Linked DNA regions of Tamandua tetradactyla. The protein of the gene in region 2 interacts with the protein of the main gene of each other region in a pairwise test. Links are inferred from orthologs where the notes say so. Each region holds a gene or a part of one and is shown on either strand. Other genes may lie near its edges. The genes, in order: SYT16, RTN4 and RTN3.

Region 1 (10,145 bases), on a different chromosome or scaffold from region 2:
TCTCTTGCCACCTCTGTCATAGATATACCAAATATCCATCCTCATTTGCCCAGAAAATGGTTTACATTTGTTGGTCTAACGTATTATGGACGAATAGTTCCCCAGGTTGGATGATAAACTAAATGGGCACCTTAGTCATAGAGCAAAGACCCACATATGGAATGGTCTGTTTCTGGGCTTGTTGGTGAGTCAGGTCGTCCCTGTGTTGCTATCACACTGTCTGAGATACGTTACAGGAGCTCCTGAGCTTTACAATAAACCCGATACATGGTAGGACAAGTACTTCCTTTACTTCTTCTTTAGAAGTGATTGGCTATTCTTGGCCCCTTACTGTTTATTTCATGTGCATTTTAGAGTCAGTTTGCAGACTTCTACAAAATCCTGCTGGGGTTTTGAATGGAGTTTCACTGAGTTTCTGGGTCCATCTGAGGAGAATTGACATCATTACAAAGTCAAATCTTCCTCTTCGTTAACACGTATCTTGCTTTATTTGGTTTTCCTTTAATATCTTTCAGTAAAATTTCACAATTTTATCCATCCAGTTCATACTCATATTTTGTTAAATTTTTACTATATATTTTATAGTTTTTAATTTTTATTTTAAATGGTGTATTTAAAAAATATCTTCTAATTGTGGTGTGGTTGACTTGAATAGTATTCATATACGCAGCTATTTTGTGAAACTTTCCTTTTATTTATGATAGTTTATGAATTTTTAGAGTTTTTGATGTTGACAATCATGTCACTTGCAAAAAATGCAAAAAGTTGTTTCCTCCTTTCCAATCCTTTTGCCTTTCAAAAACTTTATTGACTTGTAAGATGCACATATCATAATATACATCTTGATACATTTTCACAAAATGAACCCACTTATTTAACTAGCACCTAGATCAGGAAACAAAACATTATCTGTACTTCAGAGGCCCCCAGTGTTCCTTTCTAAATACTACTTCCCCAAAGAATAACCCTCAGGCCTTGTGATTTTAATATTTTTTTCTGGTTGGTCTTAAATTGACTTAGTTCATGCAAAGTTCCCTCTCTCCAGCGTTATCACTTTTGCCCTTTCTGCTAGAGAATATTCCCGGTAACATACAAACATGCTTTATAATCATCCATTCTGAATACTTCTCCCTTGACTGTATGTCCTTTTCTAGAAATGCTTCATTTTGCTGCTCTACTTTTCAGCAAAACTATTTGAACAAATTTCCCATAGTTAATGTCTCTACTTCTTTACTTTCTAGCTTTCTTTTCAACTCTCTTTAATCTAGCTTCTGTCTTTGGGGTTCTACTGTGACAACTCTCGTCCAAGATTACAATGACCTCTATGCTACCAAATCCAATAGAGAGCTCTGTCGTTAGTACTCATCCATCTTAAAATGCTTCCTTCTCAGGACCTCCATTTATTCATTTGTCTGATGACTTATTTAACGCCTCTCTCTCTATCTAGACTCTAAGTCCCTCAAGGGCAGGGATGCTGTCTAACTTTTTCACTGCTCTGTCTTAGCATCTAGTATAGTGTCTGGTAGATGGTGGATCCACAAATGTTTGTCGCCTGGGTCTTAAGGATGGCAGTCTATATCCAGTCAACTTTGTCTTGCAGGAACCTGAAATTCAACACCTCCAAAATTGTGCTTTTAATCTTATTCCACAAACCAATTCCTCCCCTAGTGCTCCCTCTCTCAGTATACACCAGTACCGTCCATTGAGCCGGAAACCTTGACTCCTCTCTTCTCCCCATCCCGTTCATCGCTCACGTGTGGAAATGCTACTGCCTAAGTAATTTTTTTGAATTCATCCACTCAACTCTATCTCCATTTTCATCCTTCTGGTCTGCCATGATGTTGAATAATTGTAACAGCTCATGAGCTCCTTTCCTCCTCCACTCCTCCGGTATTGCACCCCTCCAATCGTTCTTCTATGGCAGCCAAGGCTATGTAGGTCTTTTAAAAGCACAATCCTATTTAAATAATCCTCATATCACAAATGTGGGGTCATATACTTATTCCCCAAAACAAAAACAGAGTTAGCACAGGGTAAGCAGGATAGTAGAATAATGCAGAACTTTAACAAACACAAATCACTTGGTAAGTACTTTGTAATTTTATACTGTTTTCATGTTGTAACATAATTTAATTTTAATATCACTATTTTTCCAAATCTGCAAAGCATCCAATTATTGTGTCTTCTGTAATTTCCTACCTATCAGTTTGCTTTCTCTTTCTACACCTACTTTTTCCTCAAATTGGAGCTATTTTAATAATAAAGGGCAGATTTGCACTTATCAGTAGAAGGAAATGGATAAACAGAACTATTTATCTAGCTGTTGTCTGGGATTGACACTGTCTGCCAGTCCATTAATCAACATTCACAGTCTTATAAAAACATTGAAAAGAGAACTCCTTAGGCCCCCTACATTAATATTAAGGATTGTTAAAGTGACCCAAAGCCAATAGTTGTTTCCCTTCCTTTTTTAAACTTAGATTTTCAGCTGGTTAGGTTCCTAAAGAGCTCTGTGCTTCAGTGAATGGAATTTAGTTGCCTTATAGTGAAGAACTGAAACCTGGGTTTAAAGTGATCACGAAATACCTTCTCTTCTCCATCAGTTGGTGCCTAAGGAGTCACTTGTAGCAGGGCTCGACCAATTGAAGGACAAATTTATAAAGTCCTTTGTTTTTGATGACGTGCACTGTTTTTAAATTTGAGCGCAAAAGGGTGTGACTACTTTCCTGTTTCCCAAATTAGCAAGAGTAGCAGAACAAGATTAATAGGTGAGTTCTTTCTACTTAAGAAGTTGACTGATTTTTTTTTTCTCCTTACAAAAAAAATTGCTTCTTTGGAGTGCAAAAAGCTTTTGCTCATTCAGTGTCAAGGTCTTTTACACTGATTAGGAGTGAAGTCACTGTTCCCACTGTTTGTAGGACAGAACAGTCTGATTGGCTGCTTGTTGCAACACTGAAAAGTCTCCAGCAGATTCCTCTATTCAGGACCCACTAAAAACCAGAGGCCTCAAGGAAGTAGAGCCAAATAGCCCTCTTTTGACATAAGACCATAAACACAGAAGGGAATGATTTCTCTTATGAAAGCTTTGCACAAAATAATCCGCTGCTTTCTTTAGTTGGCTTACACCAGCTTTCTTTCCTTCTTAGGTGCTGGTGTTTCAGAAAGTATCACTGGAATTGAATTTTCTGTCTAATATTGTGCAACAGGGTACCTTATTTTAAATGGGCACAGGGAGATAGTAGAGTGGAGCATTTAAGATCGTGGGTTCTTGAACCAAATGCTTGGATTTGACTCTTGACTCAGCCACCTGCTAACTGTGTAACCTTGGGTGAGTAACCTATCCTTTCTTTGCCTCAATCTCCTTATCCATAAAATGGGGGACCATAACAGTGACTTCCACAGAGTGTTGTTATGAGAAGTAAATTGATTTATGCATAGGGTTTGGCAGTTAGTAATTGCTATTACCAGTTATCGCCCATCATCATTATCACCACCACTATCAAGATTAAAAAGGGAATGGCCAAAAGTTCTCCTTTAGCTCTTCTGGAGGCACTTGAGCTAGTTCTGCCTGGGGTTAAAGTCTGTGGATGGATGAGCCCTTGCACATGGAGCCAAATTATCTTTAATAAGTGGTTACCTGGGGTTTGACAACAACAACAAAAAGCCGATTTTGGGGGAAAGGACCATGCTTTAGGGAGTTTTGATAGAAAAATAGATCTTACTTCTACCTATCTTTTTTTTAAAAGCTATAATGATAGAGATAAAACTAATAGCCCTCTATATAACATTACTGTAATCGTCTCTCACTTTTTTTTGCCCTCGTTAGTTCCAGGTGTTAGGCGCACATTCACTCTACGGGGCTCAGGGAAAGGTCCTGGTGGCCACAACATAGAAAGAGGGATTTGTGGCCACCAAGGACATACAGCTCAGACCCAAAGGTTGATGAATGAGTGCAAGCTTTTTAGAAGAGGAGAAATATCATGGAGAGGCAGGGTACTGATTTACCGTGTGCGAGGAGAAGCCTGGGCCAGCCTTCTCTCATTCTCCCCGCCTTGAGTTCCAGACACTGCAAGACTGGGCTGGGGTCTTTGGTGGATGTGAAGAGAGTAGGAGGGACCAGGGAACTGTGGCTGTGGGCAGTTTAGGTTGGCGGGATGGAAACAGGACTACTACCCAGCATAAAAGAGGGGACAGGTAGACCCCAAGGCAGCAGATATAGGGCAGGTTCAAGGGAAAGACAGAAGGGTCTCTGAGTTTCTTTTCACGTTGCTCATGGCATGTCACAGGTCGATAAGAGTGCAAGGATTCAAGTTCCCTGTCCCTTCCGCAGCTGAGCTGCTACCTCACCCCTTAGGCACTGGAGTGGGGGTTCCAAAAGGGAAGGGGTGGATGGTCTTAAATAGAGTCAGGAATGTTTTCATAATGATAAAAATATACAAACTTAGCCTTCTACAGGAAATACAATTTTTACTTCTCTTTGGACAAAAATCTGAATTCTTTGTCTACAGTGTTCCTTTATCTAGAGCCAAGTTTTTACAGAGCCTTGAAATTCATTGATATATGAAAAACCGAGGCTGCTGTTGACAGAAATTGTGTATGTTAGTAAATTATGCATCATAGTAGCAGAAAAATCCCAAGCTTCTGTGATTGCATTGAACGCTTTCCTGGCTGGGGTGCTGTGAGTGAATGGCAGGACGCTGGCTTTGTGTGGGGGGCTGGGGGGGGGGGCGGTGACTGGTGAATGAGGAAAATTAGCTTTGCTGGGCTGATTTTTCTCTTTGAAAAAGGCCTTGTGCCCAAGTGTCATATGTATCGGTTTGCTTGAATGGATATGAAATATCTGGGGAAAATAAATATGAGTCCCAGGAGTACAAATAAATATGAGTCTCTGGAGTACAACCCCTTGAGTGTCTTCGCCTCTTCTCACTAGAAGGAAAGGGGGTGACGCTTGCCTCTACTTGTGCCCCCCTGGGTTTTTGGCTAAGGAAATTTTCTTTTTTTCTTTTTGCTTTTTAATATTCCAAGAATCATTTCATTTTTTCTTTTGGCTTTAGAGGGAACCAGAGTGTTTTATTTCCTGATGACCATTCGAGAACAGGGTCCTTGGATTTTCTTCCTTACCCCCCTCCTCCCGACACACGCACATGTGCCACATCCACACGCCACTAGCTGCCTCCGACTCTTTCTCACACACCTCCTTTGCTTTTTTCTCTTTGCAGGGAAAACATTTTCACCTTTCATTTTGCCCTTTCAAATTTAAGCATGGACTCTCAATTTAAGCCAACTGTCCTTTGCTGCTGCTGTCGATAATACGATATTAGGAAGATTCAGAACAATGGATTTTGCCTCACCACTGGCTCACACTGGGTGGTTTGAGCAGCAGCAGCTTAAAGTGACTGCCTGTGGGATGGAGCTGCTGTGGCTGGGTAGATGCACGGCAGCGCTGAATGTGAGATGTGGGGCTGAAGGGACCAGCGACCCTTACAGAATCCTAAATGACTACGTGAAAAGCAGAAACAAGACGAGCTGTTATCAGGAAGAGACGATAAAGACAGAATAATTTATTAGAATAGGGAGCAAGATGAAAGGAGAGATAAAGAACCAAGCCAGAAAACGTAATAGCCTATAATCCCAGGCTAGGAATGAACTGAAGAAGTCAATCGTGAAAGATTAAAAGGATAAGGTTATAGAGATGCTTTGAATATTGATGATGCTCATTTTGGTAGATGGTAGCCAATTAGTCATTGTTGACTATTATTACATAATTATGTGCCCATGTTTGGACATTTGTGTGTTGGTTTCATCTATTATTAAGGGTGTTTTGGAATATATGAGAACAAAATCCCTGTAGCAAGCGGCAGGATCCCAATTACAATGGATAAATGCGAAAGGGAAGTTATTGGCTCATAAAACAGAGAATCCCAGGGGTAAGACTGACTCGCCTAGGTCGGATCCAGGGATTCAAATGAGAATCTCACCTCTCTTTCCCTCTGTCTTCCTTCCGTCTTCCCTCCCTCTTCGCTTCTACCTTTCCCCTTCTCTCCTCTCTTTCTGCATCTCTGCTTCTCCTCCTTAGCCCCTTCCACCCCAGTAAATCCTGTCCTTTCCCTTCTCTCTTTCACTCTTCATCCTCTGTCTCTCCTTTCCCTCTGTCCCCCCTGTTCTCCCCTCCCCACTCTGGCTGATCTCTCTTCCAATCCCCACAGGGGACTCTCTCTTCCTCTGCCTACTTTTTATTTCCTTCTCTATCCCTCTTTCTTTTCCCCCATCTTGTTCCTGGCTGTATTGCCTCACAGACTCACTTTATTCTAAGGCAGGTTCTCTGCTGTGGTGACCTCCCTGAGCTCCACGTTATCCACCTGAGCATTCCCAGTGGAAAAGGACTTTCTCTTTCACCAGAGTTTTAGCAAAACGTCTCAGGATTGCCTCTCATTTGGCTGACCTGGGTGCTGGGATGTGCTGACAGGCCTCAATTCGGAATAGGGAGGTGGTATTCCTTAGGAATCGTGTGGACTGATGTTCAGGAAGGAAAGTGTGATCACCAGAAGAGAGGGAATTGAGTGTTGGGCAGGGAAAAGTAAGGCATATTACTGTTCCTGTTGATAATCTACTGGTCGTTACTTGCTGTAATAAAAGACCTCCAAATCTCAGTAGAACATAAAATCGAAGTTTGTTTCCCATTTTCACCACAGTCCAAGCAGATGGTGCCGCTCTCCGTGAGGCTTCAGGCGGTGACTCAGGGATTGGGTCTGTGGCACTGCTGAACTGAGTTCTCCACTTCCAGCTGCATGAAGGGAAGGGAGAGAAGATAAAACACATGGTGTTTTATGGCCCCATGCAAATAGTGTGCATTGTTTCTGAGTGTATTCCACTGGCCAGAACCCAGATTCTTGTTCCTGATCTAACTGCAAGGGGATTTGGGGAAAGGTAGTGTTATTATGTGCCCAGAAAGAAAATGAACATGTTTTTGGGGAATGCATACTGCTGTTGCTGCTATACTCAGGCTGTTTGGATAGGCGATTGCATGGCAAGTAGCCAGAACTGAACCCATGCAAAGTTTATGCTGGGTATTAATGAGACATGCATATAGGCTCTCCTCAAAAATGCCTTCCATCCTTCCTGTGCTTCCAGAGTTTGTCTTGAAATGCTACTTTCTTCACGAAGGCTTCTAAAATGGCACTGCATGTAAGAGCTTGAACCGTGGAACCAAACAGCATGAGTTGAACTCCAGCTCCCCACTTTCTTGGGGCAACCCTGGTAAATTAGCCTCTTTAAGCCTTTGTTTCCGCTTTCCATATATGAGGCCAGGAAATAGAATTAACAGAAATCCAGAATTTGAAATGCATCCACATTGCTCTGGTGGTTTTGACTCCCTATAATTTTGGCTATGATTTTTCTTAGCAGTTCAGTGGTGTTCAGAGAGTCAGTGGAACTTCTGGGTATGTGCTGCACTACGGGCTCCCGTCCTCTGTGTGCTAGCATCTTAACAATTTCTAGATAAAGGGAAATTCAGCGGTCACCCATTCTATTCTAATCTCCTCGCTTTACAGAAGAAGAAACTGAGGCCCAGAGAAGATCCCTGATCATGCACACGGCCTCGCTGTGTGTTTCGTGGCAGGGCTGGATATGGATCCCACGCCCTGATTCTGCATCTTCCAGCACGTGGCTCCATTCGCCTTTTCTCCTGTCTTGTGATTTCAGCAGATCAAAACCTGGCAGCCTGAAATGAAGGCTCCTCATTTCTACTCCACAGTGCAAAGGAAAGCCTGCTTTCCTTTTTTTTCAGGTTGTGGGGGGCCCCCACTCAACCTCAAGTGTAGATATTTTTCCGTGTTCTAGTTGATCATCTCCATGGAAACCATAGAGACCGTCCTATCAACAGAAATTGTGGTTTGAAACTTGTCGGTTTTGCAGAGATGCTGCTGCAACTCAATGAGAGGTGATAAAGACATAGGTAATTGCGGTGGAATAATACTGCTGCCAGGAAGATGACTGAACTCCCACACAGAAGGTGAACAGATGGCATATTTATTGAAATTCATAGGCTGGGAGGTGGAATAATTTAGCTGATGGCTGGGCATCCTCGCTGCAAATTGAGAGGCCGTGGAAGAAACGAGTATGCCGCTAGATGGCACGATGATCTAGGGCCCAGGGTTTGTCTCTTCACAGAAAGGGAGGTACGCATTCAGGGGAGACTGAAGACCACTTCAGTTCACTTCCTAATTGGCCCTACAAATCCTTCCTGAGGTTGGGTGGAAAGTCACCATTTTCAAAAGCTTAAACTCATTTTAGTGATAAAATAAATAAGTACTGCTCAGGGCTTTTGCGTGGAGAAAAGGCAGTCAAATGACAGGGTGCTGAATCTAGATGGGGCCAAGGCCAAATGCAGGCTGTCTGGACCACTAGTCACCGGGGGCTCTAATCGACTAATTGGATGTCTAATGGCCCAGAGACGTTTGAGCCTTGCCAGGTACTGCGCCTCAGCCTCACCTCTTGCAGAGCAGAATGGCAAAACGCAAGCAAAGCAACAACACTCGCCTCCCAAAACTCATTCTGGAAGCTGATGCAGCTGGTAACATCATGTCACGGGAAGTGTAGAAGAACCCATCGTAGCCTAGTGGGAAGAGATGGAAGAAATTATGGGGTTGGAAAGGTAGGCTGATAACAAGTTAGCCTCTGAAAACCTTTTTTCCCTAATGGGGAATGCCCCTGGTTTCCAAATTCAGAGCACCAAAAAGCTTTGTCCGTGCCTTTGGGATACTCACAGTCTTGTGAGGTTGTGTGGGTTTGATTTCATGCCGAGGTTTGACTTCGTAATGTATCCGTTTACCCACCCAACCAATATCCATTGAGTCTATGCTTGTTCACGGGTATAACCTTTTCTGTGCCTAAGTTTTCTCAACTGAAAAATGAGGATAAAAATTTGTCTCTTGGGGTTGTTGTAAGGATTAAATGAGCACTTTTATACAACATAGAACAGTGTTGGGCAAATACAAGTACTCAATAAATGTTAGTTTATTATAAAATAATAACTAATGCATGTAAATATTTGCCACCACAATACCTACTGCTGTATCACTCCTGCTGTAGTATTACGGTTGCATGTGCGAGTGCTGTGTCCCTGCTGCAGCCACTGCACTGCCATTGCTAGTACTGTCACTGCGATTGTAGTATGACAGGTATTACTGTCACTGCTGCTTTATCGCCACTACCACTGCAGTATCACTCCCACCTCTGTGATTTTGAAGTTTGGAGCCACTGTTCTATCCTAATTGCAGAAAATATCTGATCTTGTCAATTTAAGGTAAATTCATTCTCTTCTGGATTTTTGAGTAAATATCAGTGAATTCAGAAAACTCCCCCTTCAGTTTTCCTTCTGGGTGAGGTAACCTCCTGGCACTTTGTGGCTGGCCCTGCCCTGGGGGCACCCTCCCTGGGGGGTATTGTCGTGATTGTCATCTGTTCTTTGCCCTCTGTCCTTAGGCATCGCCGAGGGAGGTCTCGGTGGCGGCTGCATCCTTGGGCCTGTGGGCCTGGTGGAGGCAGGGGATGGGGAGGGCAGACCTGAACGAGAAGTTTTCAGGTGGCCTCTGCCTCAGGCTGCACCTGCGGCCTTTGTGGGGCTGAGCCAGGCGCCTCGCGCCAGCTCTTCCCTCTCCCGCTGCTGTGGGGACCAAGATGGACGAGAACCCCCTAAAGGCTTGCAGCCTCTTGAGTTCCATGCTGGGAAGGAAGGCACCAGCCCTACTGTCCTGGGCCCCCCCAGGCTTAGGGAGGTCTTAACAGGTAATTCTGTACTTAGTCTCCGCTCCCTTCCCTACCCCTCACCAGCAGAAATAGCAAACTCCAAATCTGATTCTGCTTTCCTTTCCCAACTTCTCAAATCAAAACTCATCTTTTATGGAGGAAATACCATAGAGAAATGGAAAAGAGCAGGGAAACACCTTTTTTGGGGGCAGGATATTGGGAGGAGGTTGGAAGGAGACCTCAAGTATATTGTCAGTGATGAAGTAAGTTATGCCTTCATGTCCTGGAGCAGAATTCCTGGGCATGGTCAACTTACCAATTCAGACTGAAAATGAGTGGTCACAGCAAGGCTTTCATGAATGAATGAAAATTCTGTTTTATAGATGTTGTATAAAGAA
Region 2 (10,145 bases):
CTGTCATCCCCAGAAGGACTTTACCAGAGTCTATATAAACAGGAATAAAAAGTCCAAAATAATGTACTACAAATATTGTATATATGCAATACTACCACTTAATCAAAGATTTCAAGAAACAATCAGGAAAGATCATTTGTTTAGTTAGTTCTTTTATCTTTTAACCTAACAAAGTTCTTTTAAAAATATGCCATTTAAATTGGGGTCTTAAATCAGCAGTGTTTTATATCAATTGTTTTTAGGCATTTTGGGAACAGAATTACATAAAACAATCAACTACTGAACAACTGAAGATATACTCCTTTTTTTCAGAAACATTTTATATCTAAGAATTGAATACACTCTAATATCTTTTATCTGATTTTCAGTTGTCTAATCTATTCTTTGTTTCTCTGCTCTGATTTTCTATTGTTTCTTTTCTGCCATATTGGATAGTGGTGGTAAAGTATGCCATTATTATGGAATAGATTCTGTTAGTGTTTCTTTTCTTTCTTTCTTTTTTTTTTTTTCCAGCTATGTTGTCCCTGCTCTACCAACCAATTACGTTATTGGGGTTGGAGGAGCAAATAACTGATCTTTTTAAATGGTCAGTTCATAGGGATTCATATCCAGATATGATGGAGATAAAAGAATCTGAGTCGGATTCAGCAACTGGGTGGAAGTTAGGGTTTTCTCCCTCGGGAGAGGGTGAAAATTTTTGACGTGATGGGAGAAAAGTAAATTATAGCAAGTGTTCTAAGATTAGAGTAATATAGCACTGTTCTACATGATTAGATTTTTATCAAGTTTCAAATATACTCATCACTTTTTAAAAAGGATTCGAGGGATCTTGCAAGTCAAAAAAAAAAAGGACCATAAATTTAAGGCTGAGCTTAAATAAAGATAGGAGGCTATCTGAAACATAATTCACCTTGTCCATTAAGAGCATAACACTTCTACCCAACTTTTTCCTACTCAGAAAATTAGGAATTGCTTAATGAGAAAAATGATTAAGAATCTCTAAATTCATCACTTCAATTCCTTGCTGTCCTTTTCTAGGGAATGGATAGTGTGACACTGCTTTCTTTAGCATTATCCACTTCTTAGAAGTGTCCTATCACTGTTCACTGTACATAAAGAATGGATACTTAAAATTTAAACTATGTATCATTCAAAATCTTTTAAAATCTCTAGTATGTACCTCTGATGCCAATATAAAGAAGTGCATTTATGATAAAAAAACTAATAATTTTTAAGCCCCAACCCATAACCTACACTTAAGAGTACTATTCAATTCTATATATATTTTCATTGCGATTAACAATTTAAAGTTTCCAAAATTGATTTAATAAGCACTAACATTCTTTCTTGTGTTTATATCCATAGCCTTAGAGTGCTATAAATTCTTACATAAAGCCTGTTTGTAACCTAACTGTAAAAATAAGAGATTCAGTCAATTAATCAAATCATGCTTCTTATTATCTCTTGAATTCCTCCATTCTATTTCATTTTCATGGAATGAACTCAAATCTTCCTTTGTCTCAGAACTATGGCAAAAGCTTTCTAAAGAATTCACCCATTTTCTTTCCATCCTATCTTGAATATTGTCACCAATTCATTTTTCTAACACTGCCTTCACGATGCCATGCCTCAGGTCAATTAATCTTCAATGCCTTCCTGATGCCTAAAGCAGTAATAATTCAGGAAAGGGGTTAAAACCCAACGAAATAACTGTATTTTGGAAACAATAAAAACATTTCATAATACGAACTAAAAAGTAAGCTCAATTGTGAATAGCAGAGAGTGTATTAAAGCAGTATAATAAAATCCTCGTTCCTTAATTTGGCATTCAATACCCCTCAGAATCCAGAGCCACCACACATTTTCAGTCTTAATTAACACTGGTTTGGGACCTGTCCAGAGGCCAGATCAAAGTCATCTTCCAAGATAATGTTAGCAATTTTCTCAAATCAATTTCTGTCCTCAAAGCCTACTGTTAATCTTTTCAAACACTTCTCCATGAAGAGCCACCATCGAGTGAAAGAGAAGTGTGTCTCACTTCAATTACTATATTGCAAAGGAGATACTCCAGGCACAACAAGCAGCAAAATTACAACTTATCCCCTGATGGAAATCAAAGTTTATTTAAAAAAAAAAAAAGCATGAACAGCAATGTCAAATGCATAAATGTCAGGGATCTACTATACTCAGTAACATAAATCCTCTTCCAGCTAAGCTATGTTCCTAACCACGCTCGGCATTATTTCTCACTTCCTTTGTCTTTACTCATGTAGGTCCTCTCAGTCACTCTGAATATCCAATTTTGCTCTAAAATCACAGAGTTCTTAGAGAAGCATATTTTTAAAACAAACTATACTAGTTAAAAAAAAAAAAAAAAAGCTTTGTACCATGGACTTGTGAGACACCAAATGGCCAGAGTAAAGCCTACCTCTTCTTTACCCTTCCCTTACAATACCACCTTCTCTCTAGCTTTTCTCAATAGCGTTCTTACAGAATCTCAAATGTGCAAACAGCTCATTTCTACTTAAAGGCCTTTGCCCCAGGAGATGCTTGGAACATTTTTGATCTCCACAGCTCAAGTTCACTCCTCAAAAAGGCTTTTCTCAATGTCAGCCTACCTAAAAAAGCTCCCACACATCTACATGATGCTCCATCACCCTGATTACTTTTTTCATAGCACTTAACACTATTCTGAGTTTCTTATTTGTATGCTTATTATCTGTAACCCAATATGGGAGTGCAAGTGTCTAAAGTTTATTGCCAACCTCAAGAACCTAGAACAGTGTTTCTTTCTTAGGAAGTAATCAATAATTTGCTGAATGAACCCACAAACTGTTAAGAAATCTGGACTCAAAGAAATGGGTTTAATTATCCATGACCAAAATTGTAATGTTCCTGCATTTACTAAAGGAACAAAAAGTTTCCAAAGAAATATCATCGATAAAGAATTAGGAACTATGTAGAAACAGAGTTCCTGAACAGGCAATATTCTCTCCTCTATCTTCTAAATTTAGGATTCCAACAGTCAAGATTCCAAGAGAATGCTGTCACCTCCTATATTCCCACTATTCAAAGAACAGAATTCTTAGTTCCCAAGCAGGAATCCAAAATAACAAGTTAACATGCTTTTAAGTTTCCTTTCCGCAAATTTCTTATAATTTTATATTTTTCTACTTCACCTTACTTTCCCTCATAGATATCTTTGTCATACAGAAAAAAGAATGGTTGAGTTACTCATCTTCTAAGACCTTTAGTGTACTGATGAATGTTTTGAGTAGTGCTTTGGGCTATTGTCAATATCAAAATGTTGTTACGTTATTCAAAAGCATCATCACAATCGGTTTATTTCCGCTTTGTGGAACAGGAGTGAAATGAAGGAAAAAAAAAAAAACTACTGTGTGATCTGACTGATTTTCTTTTTCAAGAAAATGAACCACCCCTAAAATTCTAGAAGGCTATGGACATTTCTCAACAGGCTACCTGATCCCTGATCTATAAAGAAAGGTCCTACTGCTAGTGCAATCTATCCCCCAAAGCAAAAAGTTACTCATGAATGCATCTAATCAATTTCTCTATCACTAACAAACTTAATTTTTTCCTTTCACACTAATTTTCTAAGATGAAGAATGTAATAAAACAATGTTCCCCCAAATAAAAATAACATAAAATCAGCTAGTCATGCGAATTAAAGATTTGAAAACCATTTTTTCAAACCCTAGATTTGTGTTTGTCAGCCTAAAACATTTAACTTCTAAGAAATAGTATTTCTAACCAACTTATGAAAATGTCGGTCTCAATACATTTCATTAGGTCTCACGGTAAATCTGCCACAAGGTCAACGGGCTGATTCCCAGCAAGGAATCCACAGGTTTCCTCTTTCTTAAGAATGTCAACCATTTTGCCTTTCCTTTTTTTCGCCAAGATTCAGTTCAGGTGCATCGAGAAGTTGAACCCGTCCACAGTAACAGTTAATTCCTGTAACCCTGCAGTTGAGACCTTGTCAGAACTGTGCCTCCATAGAACCCAATGCTCAGATCCCCTTTCCCTGGCTTGGTTTTTGGTTTGGCTTTGTGGGGAGTCGCCACACCACAACCTGGGGTGGGCGGTGGCAGGACTCAGCCAGAATTCTCTCTCCTTTCCCATTCTCCACACGCCACACCACTGGAGGCGCTCTCCCTTCACTGCGGCTGGGTCAATGTGGACGTTTTCCAGTGGGCCAGCTCCCCACAAGCGCAAGAGGGGGAGGGGTAAAGCGTAAGGGGGCCACCCACGCCGGGAAGGGGTAGGGAGGGGTCCAGGGCTGAACTACAATAGACAGGCAGCGAAAGCTGCACCTTTTCCTAGAGGAGCAACCCAGACGGGTGGACAAGAGCCCCTCCCAGAAGCTTGGGGCGCCAAGGCCTGCCCAACCTTACCCTGAAACCAAGCCAGCCCAACGAACTCACAACCCTTGTTGCTCGACACACACCCAGCTCCAACGATGGGTGGGGGCCCAAGCCCCGGGATGCAGTGAAATGGGGACCAGAGGGAAGAACATCGGGAGCCCGCGGGGTGCACGTGGTTCCCCGAAACCAAGACAAACCAAATAGAACAAGCCCGGGCTTCCTCCGCCATCCCACCCTTCTTCCCGCGCCTCCCGGGGGAGAGAGGGCGCCTTCACCCAGACCTCGGCAGACAAAGCCCCCTCAGGGCTCAGAGGAGCGGCACACAAAAGAGGGAGGGGCGCGAGGCTGGAGGGCGCGGCACTCACCCACGGAGCCCGAGGAGCTCCTGCGCTTGGGCGCGGCCGGCGTGGAGGGGGGCGCGGCGGGGGCCACGGCGGGAGGGGTCCACGCGGGCTCGGCCTCGGGGCTCAGGGCGGTTGGGGGAGGAGGGGGAGGCCGGGCGGGGGGCTCGTCGTCCTCGGGCAGCTTGGAGGGCGAAGCTGCGGCAGCGGTGGGCGGGGACGGCGCGGGCACTGTGGACCGCGCGGGGCTCGGGTCCCAGGACGGCTGCCGCTCCGGGGCGGCGAGGGGCGCTGCCGGTAGGGGTCCCCGGGGCGCCGGGGGCACGAAGTCATTTCCGATGTCAAGCAGGGGAGCGGGAGCTGCGGGCGCTGGAGCTGCAGACAGCGTGGCGGCGGGCTTCCTCTCCAGCACCTCCAGCTCCTCGAGGTCCTCGTCCTCGTCCTCTTCTTCCTCCTCCTCCTCTTCCTCCTCGTCCTCGGGCTCCGTCACGAACTGGTACTTGAACTGGGGCTGAGGCCGCGGCGGGCTGTCCGCGGACGAGGAGACCAAAGGCGACTGGTCCAGGTCTTCCATGGCTGGCGGACCGGGGATGCTGCTGCAGCTGCCGCGGCGCGGGCCGCTTCTCTTTCACAGCTGCGGGCGGTTGTGGGGGTTGGGAAGGACTGAGGGGCTGGGCCGGCCGAGCCGAGGGACCTGCAGTGGCGACGGCTCCCGGAACAATGAGACTGCTCCTCCTGCCTCCGCGCCCGTGATGCGCCACCCACCCCGTCCCCTCTCGCAGCCGCCGCCGCCCAGATGAACGAAGGAGAGAGGCCAGCAGACTCTCCGCCCAGTTTGGCGTGACTCACCTCCCTGGAGGGGAGAAGCAGGGTCTGGCGCGGGAGGAAGGGAGCCAATCGGCTCCGGGATGGAGAAGATGGCAACCAGCCGGGCCAACGGAAAGGGAAAGTGCTGGGAGGAGGCGGGGCTTGTTGCGCTTCCTTGCCCTTACCGGCTGGGGTTGGGTTCGGTGGGCGGGATTTGGGACTGTGAGCCTCGCCCCTCACCTTGGGTTATTGTGGGTCCGGGTGGGGTCTTGGCCTTGCAGGGCAGTTCGAGGTCTTGTTTGTCGTTAGAGTAGAGCGAAGGGGAAAGGGCTGCGGACCCGGAGGGGTTGGAGAGGTTCCTGGCGCGCCACCGGAAGGGCGTTATCGGGGAAAGGGGGAGGGGGAAGTGGAAACTTTCCTGCCAGGAAAGAAAAACCCAGAATGGGGTATTAACTAACGGGATGGTGAAGTAGGCCCTCATAATTTAAATATACATTTTTAAAGATTTTGAAATAAAAGATTATACTTTTTTAAACCCAAATTCCCAAGCCACCTAAATTTTTTTTTTTTTTTTTTTTTTTTTTTTTAGTTTTAAGACCACTCCCAGTCTAAACTGCAGAGGTTGGCATGAGGTAAGCCAACAGCTGAGGACGGTCTGGAGCTCCGGGAACCACCATTTGAAATTGCCGTTCCTGTCCTTCCAAGAGGGTTTTAGGCTCTGCTGCTTGACTCTCACATGATGGAAGGATGAGTCACCCTAAGAGAGAGGAGAGGAGGAAAGTGGACACAGAAAAATGCCTCGGAAGGCAAATTTGGTTCACATTACATTTTCAGTCACCTTAGGCTCATGAGTCAACATTTCAGATGATGCAGGCGTTTCTGGGAGTCAGAAAGCCCCAGAGTCATTCGTTTGTTAAGCGGGAATGATCGTGATCCCCCAGGTCACTTTTTCCAAAACTGGAGAGTTTAAAGAAAGTAGTTGCAGAACACAAGAGTCATCAGCCAGAGATCTAGAGAGCCCTTTGAACTTTCTGAGGTGCCCACTCTGTTAGGCCGTGGAGAGGAAGATCACCTGCTTTCAAGTTGCTTACAGTGAGGTAGTTGCAGCTCTGTCCAAAATTCAGTTGCTGGCTACATGCACCTATTGAGCACTTGGAATGTGGCTAGTCAGAATTGAGATGTGTTGTAAGTGTAATGTGCACACTGAAATTCCAAGAATGAGTACCAAACAAAAAGAATGGAAAACGTCTCACAAATTTATGTAAGGTTACCTGTCGAAACTGATATTTTTGATATATTGGGATAAGTAAAATATCGATTTCACTTGTTTCTTTTTACTTTTTTAATACAGATACTAGAAAATTTTAAATGCACATGGCTCATTTTTTTTTGGACAGCTCTAGAGTAATAATGGCAATCACTGGTTATTTAAACAAATTCTTAACTCCAGCTAATTAATTTTATCCTAGGCTAAATTGGGGTATTGAAAAGGACAAGTAGAACAGGATTTCCTTGTCATTTAATTATCAATGGCACATGCAAGACTTAGCACATTGTTCTACAAAGATAAACTGGATCTATTTCTACAGGCTGATTGTGAATTGTTTTGAGCTTGTTTGTTTTTGCTTTTTTGAAGGGACTAGGAAGAGTAGGCTTATTTTGCTGGTAAATGAATGCCAAATTAGAAATTTTAAACAAAACGGACTCATGTGATAATGACTAAAATACAACTCTAAAATATTAACGTTTCAAGTGTTTGTCAGAAATTATCTAAAATGTACATGATTTTCAACTAAATGTATACACATACAAAAACATACTATTTTTATGCTATGAACTTTTTCTAAATTAAGCTATTAGCATTTTATTCGTTCCCATACTGCTTTTCCTGCTATGTTTGTTCTGGAACACATTAATGGGAAACTTCAAAGGATTTCCATATGTCATCTGTAAGTTGCTTATATGATATATCTTCATTCAGATGAGCTCGGTACCATATCTGTACCTACTAAAACAGTCTCAAAGGGATATTCTTAATTTATTAAAATTTGCAGGTATGAATGTAATATATATTACAGAAATGTGATAGCTTTATGACTTTAATAGCAGTGAATATTGGGACAATAATATAAACATTCTTCTGATGCAGAAGAAAGACTAAAATTATCTTATTCATCTCAATGACCTCTAAAATATTAAGCATTTGATGGTTAAATAACAGGAGTTTACCCAGTGTTCATAAAATGGTTAACAAAACATAAAGAAAGGAGAATATGACTGCTATACCAAAATTAAAGGTATAGTTAGTTACAAGAAAGTTCTAGTGGGCGTTTAGGATAGTTAAGAAAAGAATACAAATTCTAGATCATATTAGTGGTTTAAAAATAATTATTCAGCAAATTATCTTTGGAATCATTTTGCCAGGAGTAGCTTAATTTTCCAAATACCCACTGGTTAGTAACTGTTCTGTCTTAGAACACTGCACAAGATCCATTCAGCCTGGTAGAATCATAGATCTCAGAGATGGGAGGACTCTGGGAAGTCAGTTTATCTAATCTCTCCCATTACAAGAATTCCCTGCAGAGTTTTTTAAAAGGTGGTCATCTGTAGATTAAAAGTGGCTGCAATCTCTTTGCAGCAACTGTCATCAAGAGGGGTCTTCTATTTCCCTACTCCTCTGAGTTGGCTTTGTGACTTGCTTGACAAATAAAATGCCCTGGGAGTGAGTTCCATGTCTAACAGAAAGAGGTATCACAGCTTCCTCTTTAGCCCTCTTGGAATGCTGAGGCCCTGTGAAAGAGCCAGGGCTATATATTCTGGAAGATGAGAGACCAGTGGAGAGGCAGGCCTGCTATCCTAACCATTTAGATGGTGGCCCAGAAATATGAATGAGGCCATCTCAGACTCTGCAGCCAACCCACACTATCATGAAAAACAATGAATCATTGTTTTAAACTACTACCTTTTGGGGTGGTTACTTATACATCAAAAGGTACTTGAAACATCCATTTTGGGCTTCATTTATGCTTGATTCATTCAGACAAGATAGTTATTGGGTGTTTATTATGTGTCAGGCACTGTTCGAAGCTCTGGGGATACACCACTGAAGAAAACAGACACAAAGATGCTTGAACATTTTCAGTAAAGGGAGACTCACTACCTAGAGAAATAGCCCATTCATTCCATTTCTAAAATATTTTACTTCACAGAAAATGTTGAATTGATACCTAATCTGGTATACATAGAACAGATTAATTGTTCTTATATCATGTATACCCCTCTACATGAGTTAAAAGGCATAGAATGGATGTATCTCATCTTTACATGTGGGGTATGAACTTCAGAGTGAATGCAGCAATCATAGAAGAAAGATGGGACTTGAATGCCAGCAAACCTGTTTCGACAACTGTGAACCATAGCTTTTTTTTTTTTTTTTTTTTTTTTTTTTTTTTTTAAAGGAAAGACAGAGAGAAGGAAGGAAGGAAGGAAGAAAGGGAAACATCTTTAAAGACAGAGAGAAGGAAGGAAGGATAGAAGGAAGGAAGGAAGGAAGAAAGGGAAACATTTTTTCTTGTTTTATTGTATTCTGTTTCTCCGTTTTTGTTACATGGGCTGGGGCCGGGAATCGAACCGAGGTCCTCCGGCATAGCAGGCAAGCACTTTGCCCGCTGAGCCACCGCGGCCCGCCCGAACCATAGCTTTTTCACCTAGAAGATGAGAGACCATGTGGAGAGGCAAGGCTGCTATTCTAACCATTTAGCTGAGGGCCCAGAAATATGAGTGAGGCCATCTCAGACTCTGCAGCCAACCCACACTATCATGAAAAACAATGAATCATTGTTCTAAACTACTACCTTTTGGGGTGATAAGAAATGGAAAAAAGTGAAGTTGTAGTGGGATACTCACATGGAAAAATAACTAAATGTGACCCCCCCCCATACAGCATACAATTAATAATTAAAGTTTTAGTGGCCGAGAGATTTCAAATAGATTCGAGAGGTCATTCTGGAGGTTACTGTTATACAAGCTTCAGCCAGATATTACGAATTGTCACAGTATGCCAAGCCCCAACCATCAGTATTCCTGAAAACCCTAAAGATTACCTTGGGATTTATCTAAGACTCTATAAACATTTTACCTAGTAAGTTTCTTATTTTGGAAACTGAAGGTCTCCAGATTGTTTCCAGGCCAGATAAACCCTGAAACCCCAACGTGCCAGTCTCTCCAAGAACATCATCCATTTTCTAGTATATTAAAATAGCTAGAAGGAAATACCAAGAATTGTTGAGCTGTAATCCAGTAGCCTTGATCTTTGATAATGATTGTATAGCTATGTAGTTTTTATCTTATGACCACGTGATTGTAAAATCCTTGTGATCGACTCCCCCTTTATCGAGTGTTTGGGTAGATGAGTAGTAAAATAAAGACATGCATGAAGAAAAATAATAATAGTAGGATGATAAAATTGAAAAACAGTAAGTGATAGAATTTAGTAATTAATGGAATGGATGGGCTAATGGAAAAGAAGAAAGAAAAGCTGATTCCAAGGCTTAAGCCTAGGCAACAAAGTAAATTGGTGCTACCACTATCAAAGAAAAACGTCAGGAGAGAG
Region 3 (10,145 bases), on a different chromosome or scaffold from region 2:
CAGTAGCCATGTTTCTTGAAGATGATTGAATAATGATGTAGCTTTCACAATGTGACTGTGTGATTGTGAAAGCCTTGTGTCGGATGCTCCTTTTATCTACCTTGTCAACAGACCAGTAGAACATATGGAATAAAAATGAATAACGGGGGGAAGAAATGTTAAAATAAATTTAGTTTGAAATGCTAGTGATCAATGAAGGCAAGGGGTAAGGGGTATGATAGGTATAATCTTTTTTTTTTTTCCTTCCTGTGTTCGTTTCATTTCTTTTTCTATTGTCTTTTTGTTTCTTTTTCTGAATTAATGCAAATGTTCTAAGAAATGATGAATATGCAACCAGGTGATGATATTGTGAATTACTGATTATGTATGTTTTATTTTGTTTATTTTTAAATTAATAAATAAATTAAAAAATTAATTTAGGCTTCATTAGGAATTTGTGTACAATATATCATAAATAACAAAAGAAAAATAAATTTAAAAAAATTTAAAAAATTTTTTCCAACAGCTTCAGGAAGAACATAACTGCAGAACTGTTTTTATGTTAGAAAGGAAAATTATTCAGATATACTTTTTAAAATAAAAGATTGATACATTTTTATGAGTTGGTCTCCATTTGAAAAGATTTATTCATAAAGTAAGACAATTTTAAAAAGTTTCCAATTTTAAAATCTGCAATCAGATCTTTCAGCTTCTTAGTCTTAGTATACCGGTCTTCTTTAATTATCATCTAAAAAAAATCTACTAATTATTAAATTTTGACTGGTGAGAAATATCCTGAACTTCCATGGCCGTTTCCTCCTCTTACATATTGTCAATAACCCAGCTGAGAATGCATAATAGTTAGAATTTACAGAGTACTTTATTTTCTATAAGCCTATAAGAACAGGGTAAAATAACTATCCTAACTCATGTGAACCTGGTGTAGTTTTTTTAATGACAGTTTTTTTTGGGGGGAGAGTTACTATTGCTGATTTAGTGATGAGACTGCTCCCATTAATAGAACATATGGTAATTTTATGATAAGTGTTACTTTTAAGGTTTACAGTCGGAATTTCTAAATCTACTCATGTTCAATCTTATAGTTTCTAAATAAGTACCTCTATTTAGACAAGGTACTTCCCCCTTGTCTAAAGAGGACAAGGAGAAATACCATCCAATGAGTTTTGACCTGAAGAATTATATAAGGTTCAAAGTAAAATGATACATATGGTCTCTTAAGTATTACTCACAAAACTGTTCTATAGTGTGGTTACCTACTTTCAGAGCATAAAATCTCTGTGGTATAGGGCTAAATTAATTAAAAGTTCCATTTACTGTGTCTTTTCCTACAGGAATTCCTTTATCTTTGATTGCTAAATAGATTTCACAAGGTTCACATTAAAAAAAAAAAAAAACAAGAATAAACTTGAAATATGTCATTGGTAATAGAGTTCAGCAGGAGTTAGAAACAGGGTAAGACAATGGGTAATTGAAGCTGAAGGGATACAGACTGTGCAACAGGACTAGATATAAAAACTCAAAAATGGACAGCACAATAATACCTAATTGTAAAGTAATCATGTTAAAACACTGAATGAAGCTGCATCTGAGCTATAGGTTTTTGTTTTGTTTTGTTTTGTTTTGTTTTGATTTTACTATTATTACTTTTATTTTTTTCTCTATATTAACATTCTATATCTTTTTCGGTTATGTTGCTAGTTCTTCTAAACCAATGCAAATGTACTAAGAAATGATGATCATGCATCTATGTGATGATGTTAAGAATTAATGATTGCATGTGTAGAATGGTATGATCTCTAAATGTTGGGTTAATTTCCTTTTTTCCGTTAATTAAAAAAAAAAAAAAAAAGAGAAGGAATAATTGGAGATGAAGGGATACAGACTGTACAACGGGACTGGATATAAAAACTCAGAAATGGACAGCACAATACTACCCAATTGTAATGCAATTGTGTTAAAACACTGAATGAAGCTGCATGTGAGGTATAGGTTTTTTGTTTTTGTTTTTTTTGTTTTTTTTTCTTTCTATTATTGTTTTAATTCTTATTCTGTTGTCTTTTTATTTCTTTTTCTAAATCGATGCAAATGTACTAAGAAATGATGAATATGCAACTATGTGATGTTATTAAGAATTACTGATTGTACATGTAGATTGGAATGATTTCTAATTGTTTTGTTAATTCTTTTTTTAATTAATAAAGAAAAATAAATAAAAAATAAAAATAAAAATAAAAAAAAAAAACAACTTGACGATCAGCAGTGCTACTATCATGGAAATTTTCAAACATGCTTTATAAACAAATAAGAGCCTGATATTCTTAAAAGTAGCAATCATTATATTGTTTAGATACCTATAGGTATCTAACTATATTAGGAAAGGAAAACTTTAAAATATAACTGGACCTCAAAAAAAAATTTTTTTTAAAGGAAAGATCAATTTTACCAAGTGGTCTACTGTTCAGGTAAATAATTGATTTAGGGAAACCAAATCAAGCACCCATTTGAAAAAAAAAAAAGAATAACCTATCTTTTCCCTACATACAATGTGTTTCTACTTGAGCTCTAGTTTTGTAACTCTATTATCAGAGACTAAGAAAAATAGCACTCTGATAAGTAATCAATCAGCAGAATTAACCATATGTAGTATTTCTAATGTAAATGGTTACCTGAGAAGTCTGTCAGAAGTCTTGCTAGGATATGCTTGTTTACCAGTTCAGTCTTGCTAAGGCTGGGAATAACACCTACTCTAGTTGTTTCTTTGATAACAGTGGGCTTTTTGGAAATCTCAAGATTAGATTCAGTTTTGACGTTTGTATGTTCTAGGATGACATATGATCTCTGCGACCAAGAAGTCTCTGGAGCAAATGATAAAGTTTGTTTGAGTATTTCTTCAGAAGGAGATTCTACTTTATCTTGTGCAGGAACTGACTTCTTGACTGGTCTTTCACCTAATTCTTTAAGGGCTCTGATGGTGAGCTTTTCCTGTTCTAAATCAAGAGATGCTATTGAAGTACCTTGGATAAGGAAAAAATCCCGATGCTCACTTCCATTTGTTACTTTGCTTTGTTCAGAGTATTTGTATTTTATGTCTTTAACTTCAGAACCATCTGAATTGCTTTCATGCCAGATACCTACAGGAAGAGTTGTTTTCAAGTCTGCCTTCTCTGATACTTCTTCAAAGGCACTTCCTTTACCTTTAACCAATATTCCTTTCTCTCTGTTTTCTGTAAAGGGTGCTACCAGGTCCTCTGGGGAAGAATCATCTACATCTTTAACAATTTTCTTCCCATGTAATGACTCCAAACAGGCAGAAGTTGTCATGTTCAGTGAGAATTCTGTCTCATTAAAGACATTTGGAGATGCTACTGAAGAAAGTTTTGGGTCCTTAGTTACAACAGGCTTTTCAGGAGCGACTTCACTCATATTAGCTGATTGCTTCACATTTTCTGAAGGGATATTCACATCAGATACTTGTGAAAATTCCCCCTCACCAACTGGATTCCTTCCAAGGATATCAGGCTGAACTTGTGGTCTAGAGACACTGATGGACTCTTCAAAGCTTTTATATGTTTTATTTTCCCTGTTACAACTGGGAATTTCTTTGATTTTTCTTTCACCTGTTTTCAAAATAGCACTTGGAATGGAAACAGGTTTTTCAGTCTGAATTTTGTTACTTTCAAATGACACATCTGCTGTGATATCCTCTATTACTGTGTCATCGGACTCACCAGAACTATCAGCCTCTGTTATTTCTCCCAACATGGAGCTCTGCCAGTTCATGTCATCTTTTAGGTGGTCATTAGGTAAAACCACTTTCACCATGGCCACCCTAGAACTCAAAGGCACACACTTCTCCAATGGAGACCCAGATAATTCTGATAGTATGTCATCTTGTTTCTGCATATTGCCTTGCATTCCCTTGGTACTGACTTCCTTTGTGGAATGAAGATAATCCAGTGTAGTTTTTTCAATGATAGCATTTTCTTGTGGGAGAGATGCTTCTGTCCAATCATTTGCTGATTTAGTGATGGGACTGCTCCCATTAACAGAACATATGGGAATTTTCTGATGAGTGTTATTTTTAAGATTTACAATTGGAATTTCTAAATCATATCTACTCATGTCCAATCCTACAGTTTCTGTGATGTAGTCAGAAGATTTATCACACTGTTGTTTCACTTGAGGTGCCAGATCCCAAGTCAATATTTCATTAGTAAAGTTATGCATATCATTCACACATCTAGACACCTCTTCCAAGGCTGCAGTTGTGTGTGAAAACTGTCTAGTGAGCAATGCAGAGGTTGGGTAAAGCCCTATTTCTTTATTTCTCAGTGGATATACTTTGTCATTAGTTTCTGTAATGTCTGCAGAAGATTCTCCATCAGTGTTCACTGCCCAGCTACCAAAATCATTTATGCTCTCCTTATATGACTCCTTAAACTCTTCATCAAATGCTGCTTTGTCAGTAATTACTTCAAATGGTGATTCAGGGGAATCTTTTTCAATACCACCTCCTGAAATTTCAGATGGGGATAAGGAATATGTATGAATGCCTTCAGCCTTAGACTGCTCAGGGCGTGGTTTCTGGGCTGTTAGAAAAGTGAACCCGTCATCAGCATCCAAGGCAGTTTTATCATTTTTACTTGGTTCCTCATTTGGGTCTTTGGACTCTTGATCTTTATTTACTTGCTGTTTCATCTGGCCAAATTCCTTTGAGAAGGAAGCAGGATGCTCTGAGAAACTGGCTGGAATGGAAGGCTGGTTACAACGAACTCCTGCTTCAGTAGAAACTGGGGGATTGGCTATGTCTTTACTTGCTGCTTGAGGCTTTTCCATCTTTTTCATATCTAGAAGAGCCAAGCAGTCTTTCCCTTCTTTGGCTAAAATAGGCTGGCTGTTTAACGCTTTGCTTTTTTCTCCATGTAGTGTTGTAAGGTCAATATTTTCTATTTCAGAAGATGAAAAAAAGGAGGAAGTCATAATTTCTGAAGGTGCCTCATCAGAGCAAAGAGAGCTCAATCCTTCTATGGTCAGAATTTGAAAGAAAACAATTGTTTACTGCATACAGTTACACATTAGCTAGTCAGGCCAAGCAGCATGCTTTCGTTTTTTAAAATTATATATAAATAAATATATACACACACACAGGATGTATATATAGACACAAATATGTAACAAAACAATGATCAACAGCTGCCCTACAAGACATGCATAACATTGCCAACAGTGAAACAGAAAGCCATTATCATGCTATAAATTGCAAATGACGAAAAATTTTCACAGCAAATACTTTTCAATCTGTATAATTGTTTTCACTGTTGAGTTAAAGCATAAACAAGATTAGTGAGACTGGGAGATGTGGGGAAGTTGTTTTGTCTTTTGTTATTGGGGTGGGGGGAGAACTATTAAGAAACAACATAATCCATACAAAAATAAACATTTTGATAATATGAAGAACTGATACAGTCATCTGAAGTTGAACCTTTCAGAACCATTCAGAAAACACATTCTGTCTGTAACTCTACTGTCATAGTTTGACAGTAATCTAAGAAAAAAGTAAGTGGCCAAAAGATCTCTAGGCAGTACAGAGAACCCTTCTTGAGCCTAAAAGTGAGACTAGAATGATCCTAATTGATCCACAGGGACAATTCATCGCATGCACAGATGACTTAAATGGTAAGGAAAAACTGGTCTGCTCCAAAACCTGCCACATTAACCAAAACCGAACCATTCAATTTGGTTTCTTTGGTTAAGATAATCTTAACTTCAAAAATTCTTTTAAAATATCCTTCTAAAAGTAATACCTTAATTAGGCCTTATCAGTTATTAATACCACAGTAACTATTTATTTACCACATTATTTTCCAACTTTTCAAACCAGCAACTTTTTATTGGGAAAAGATAAAAACAATCATCCCAAGGGCAGGCACTGTCTTTCTTGCACATTGCATATCTTTGGAACTTGGAACAAACTAGGTCTTAAATAAATAGTTCCAAATGAATGAATCAAAGATTCAGGCTGGTCAAGTGAGATCCATGTGGAATCAGGGCAGCAATATCCTAAGCATGTATGAAGGATTGGAACCATGTAAAAGGAAAATTCCTTTGAGAACACCATTATTCAGCTTCTGTTTTCTTTTGCTGGTAAGAGGCTGAATAATAATATTAAACAAGAGCAAAATTATGACTATTCAAAATTATTTTATTAAAGATGAAAATAATTACCTTATTGCAATATAAAAAATTTCACTATTATAAAAATGTTTTGAAATGCCAGATAAAGTTTCCCCCTTTTTGATACATCAATGTAATTTGATATAATACAGTTTGACCTTTAGAACTGTGTAATTATAATCTTGGGTATTGGGGGCGGACAAAGTTTTCATAATTGAGGAAAAACTGTTAAAAGTTTGGTGGTACAAATTGGACAGTGGGATAGAAAATATTTTAAGTAAGCTACAAATCCTAGTAAGTTCTAACATAGTAAACAGGTTTTATATCCATCATAATATAGTGTGGAATACTCAGAATGGTTGGATTAAAGGTATAATATAAATGAAGCCCTATTATAGCTTTAAAAACCTCAAGTTTAAATACTATAGGCTACATTTAAATAAGAAATATCCCGTAATCTAAGCTACATATTGTTATTAATCTTGCTGATCACGGACACGTTCAATGGATTAGATTTGGGTTAAGGTAACCATTTGGGAATGCCTCCCTCTGAACAGGAATGGAACTTTGAGGTGAGCAAAACTGACTCCATTCCACAGTGAAAGATCAGCCTGTATGTTTTATAGAGACAGATTTCAGATGCTCCAAACTTGCCATCTTACAGACAAAAATCAACAAAATGAATTAGTAATAATTCAACAAATATTTACTGAGTACCTACAATGGGCCAGACACTGTTTTAGAAATTGGGTTTAGAACAGTGAACAAAAGAGAAAAAATACTTGCCTACCTGCCTTTGTGGAACTTACAATACAGAAGGAGAGACAGACAATAAGCAATACCAATATATATAAAATGATGATGATGATGGGGTGGTGCTTGATGAAATAAAAAGGAAAGGAACCTAAATTGAATGTTAATCAAAGAATGCACACATCACCAAAACAAAAGCATGGTAAAATGTTCTAAGCTTTGCCAGAAGACAAATCTGTCAGTTTACTAAGTCTTGCATCCTTCTTATCTTCCTTGAATTCTAAATACTCCTCCCCAGTAAGGTATATAATAATCTGAGATAAAACTAGATTAGGTTAGAAGCCCTAATACCAGAGTTCCTATAAGTCCTGTACTAAATGCCATGATTTCCTGATAAGACTTCAAACATTTTATTAAAGATTCTTTAATATGGAATATCTATAATATATACCAAAATAATTTTAATCATGCCCTAATATTTGGGGTAGATAGTGTTTTTCTGGGGGGCAAATTCAAAGGTAAAGAGCATGATGTTGCATTAGTTCCTCAATGACTGTAAATGCAGGTGCTAGCTCTCATTATGGTCAATTAAGCTTTCCAATATGTAGCCAAAAAGTTACCATCCATCTATACTTGAATTTTAGCGATCTTGTTTAGAATTTCAGCAAAAGAAATTTCTTTGGCTAACTGGAAGTCAAACAAATTTGGATAGCACTGATTTGTACTAAGACAACGGAAAAAATTGGGCTGGAATTAGTTTATAAAGCCGTGAAAATATTAAACATAAAAAGAAGTCCAGAATTCAATAAGTCTTTTGCACAACTTCCATAAAGAAAGACTCTCCCAATTAGCCTGGCAAAATGGCAGAGCACTCCAGAGAGTTTAAAGGTTATTTTTAAAATACCACCTACCATAAAACTGCCTGGTAGAATAACCCTGGATTATTTTGTATCTTGGAAAATGTCTACCATCTTTCCTTTTTCATAATTTTATAGCTCACTCCAAGAGATTTTCAATACTACTCAAAACAAACCTTCATCAAAAATCTCATTAAGAACACTAAAGATAAAATTTCAACTTATGTGTGAGACTAAAGCAAAAAATGTTTATTTGGTACAAAATTTATACTTTGACTAGTGCAAGTCCTAATATAACTTATGTAGATAGTTGGTTGAACAATGTAAGTACATGGAAAGGACATGAGATTTTGTTGGTTTGTCCAGAGTGATGCCCCGATGAATCCCAGAGTGATTTGATCAGAGAGTGGAAAAGTATTTGCAAAGTATTCCCCTTTGGGGAATGGTGAGAATGGGGGAAAATTCAACACCCACCCCAGGTGAATTCTTGATATTCTCACAAGCAGTGTGGACAACCAAAGCTATAGGCTGAGCCCCCAGTCTTGGGGTTTGTTCATATGAAACTTAACCCCGCTAAGGATAGGTCAAGCCTACTTAAAATTAGGCCTAAGAGTCACCCCCAAGAGAGTCTCTTTTGTTGCTCAGATGTGGCCTCTCTCTCCAGCCAACACAACAAGCACACCCACCACCCTCCCTTGTCTACGTGGGACATGACTCCAAGGAGTGTGGACCTTCCTGGCAACATGGGACAGAAATCCTAGAATGAGTAGAGACTCAGCATGAAGGGACTGAGAAAAACCCTAGAATGAGCTGAGACTCAGCATCAAGGGATTGAGAAAAACCCTAGAATGAGCTGAGATTTAGCATCAAGGGATTGAGAAAACCTTCTCAATCAAAAGGGGGAAGAGTGAAAGGAGACAAAATATCAATGGCTGAGAGATTCCAGAGTCGAGAGGCTATCCTGGAGGTTATTCTTATGCATTAAGTAGATATCATCTTGTTATTCAAAATGTAATGGAGAGGCTGAAGGGAACTGCCTGAATGTAGAGCTGTGTTCCAGTAGACATGTTTCTTATGATGATTGTATAATGATATAGCTTTCACAATGTGACTGTGTGATTGTGAAAACCTTGTGTCTGATGCTCCTTTTATCTATCTTGTCAACAGATGGGTAGAACATATGAAATAAAATTAAATAATAAGGGGAACAAATGTTAAAATAAATTTAGTTTGAAATGCTAGTGATCAATGAAAGGGAGGGGTAAGGGGTATGGTATGTATAATTTTTTTTCTGTTTTCATTTTATTTCTTTTTATGTTATCTTTTATTTCTTTTTCTGAATTGATGCAAATGTTCTAAGAAATGATCATGATGATGAATATGCAACTATGTGATGATATTTTGAATCACTAATTATATATGTAGAACAGAATGATTATATATTAAGAATGCTTGTGTTTCTTTGTTGTCATATTTTTTAAATTTAAAATTAATAAAAAAATTAAAAAAGAACACAAGAATTATATAATGGAAATAACTGAACATATTCGCTATTAAGAGTTCTAATCACTTAAAAATATGGTGCTACTTTAATTATTAACAAACAAGACTTATACATCTAGTAGATTTGTTAAAAAAGAAACCAAAGTATGGTGGGGTAAGGGGTAAAAAAAAAGTTAAAACCCTACAATGATGTTGTGAGCATGCTCCCAATCTTATCAAGTACTAAGCTCCAAGCTTATACATAGTTTATTAAACTCTAAATATTCAGAAGTCTCCATGTAAGTATATCACCTGAAATAAGGCTAGGAAATTAAGTTGGCAGTCCTATCCTAAATCTCTAGAACTCTCCAAGCCCAAAATTTCTATTAAAAATACAAAATCTTCTCATAACACTTAATAATTATGTGGCCTTGGGCAACTTGCTTAATCTCATCTAAAAGATGGGGATTACTAAAGGACCTAACTTTAACAAAAGAGTTGTTGTGAGGACTGGATAAGTTAATACATGTAAAATGCTTAGAACAGTATCTGGCACTTAGTAAATGCTCAATAAATGTCCCCAAATACCACATTCTCAAAAAAATCTCTCTTCTTATACAGACTCCAAACTATATGCCTCTTTTTACTGGGAGAGAGAAAGAAAGCATATTGTCAAATCATAATCACCTCCATCTAGTAACAATACAGAAAATCCTCATTCAGAGTTTAGGTACTTTTTTTCCTACCACTCATAAATAAAGAAAAGTATAGTTTAATTAGTTACACAATTTTCGAATCAGTTAGTACAAGCCAGATACCTATTATACCTCAAGAATTGCGCTAGGTTCTCCCTTTAGGTTCAAACTTTAAAACTACTAC

The links.
Region 1: the proteins of RTN4 (region 2) and SYT16 interact in binary tests that used the Homo sapiens proteins (3 or more experiments, as listed by UniProt). The link is inferred for Tamandua tetradactyla from reciprocal best matches to the Homo sapiens genes RTN4 and SYT16.
Region 3: the proteins of RTN4 (region 2) and RTN3 interact in binary tests that used the Homo sapiens proteins (3 or more experiments, as listed by UniProt). The link is inferred for Tamandua tetradactyla from reciprocal best matches to the Homo sapiens genes RTN4 and RTN3.

The regions. Positions count from the first base shown.
Region 1 is NC_135338.1:2,892,081-2,902,225, reverse strand, and holds the start of SYT16 (synaptotagmin-16), read left to right. Parts: upstream 1-2,998; 5' UTR 2,999-3,328; intron 3,329-10,145. UniProt on the Homo sapiens protein: May be involved in the trafficking and exocytosis of secretory vesicles in non-neuronal tissues. Is Ca(2+)-independent.
Region 2 is NC_135343.1:27,391,361-27,401,505, forward strand, and holds the start of RTN4 (reticulon-4), read right to left. Parts: upstream 5,586-10,145; 5' UTR 5,301-5,585; coding exon 4,751-5,300; intron 1-4,750. UniProt on the Homo sapiens protein: Required to induce the formation and stabilization of endoplasmic reticulum (ER) tubules. They regulate membrane morphogenesis in the ER by promoting tubular ER production.
Region 3 is NC_135335.1:10,965,135-10,975,279, forward strand, and holds the start of RTN3 (reticulon-3), read right to left. Parts: upstream 6,221-10,145; 5' UTR 4,981-6,220; coding exon 2,667-4,980; intron 1-2,666. UniProt on the Homo sapiens protein: May be involved in membrane trafficking in the early secretory pathway. Inhibits BACE1 activity and amyloid precursor protein processing. May induce caspase-8 cascade and apoptosis.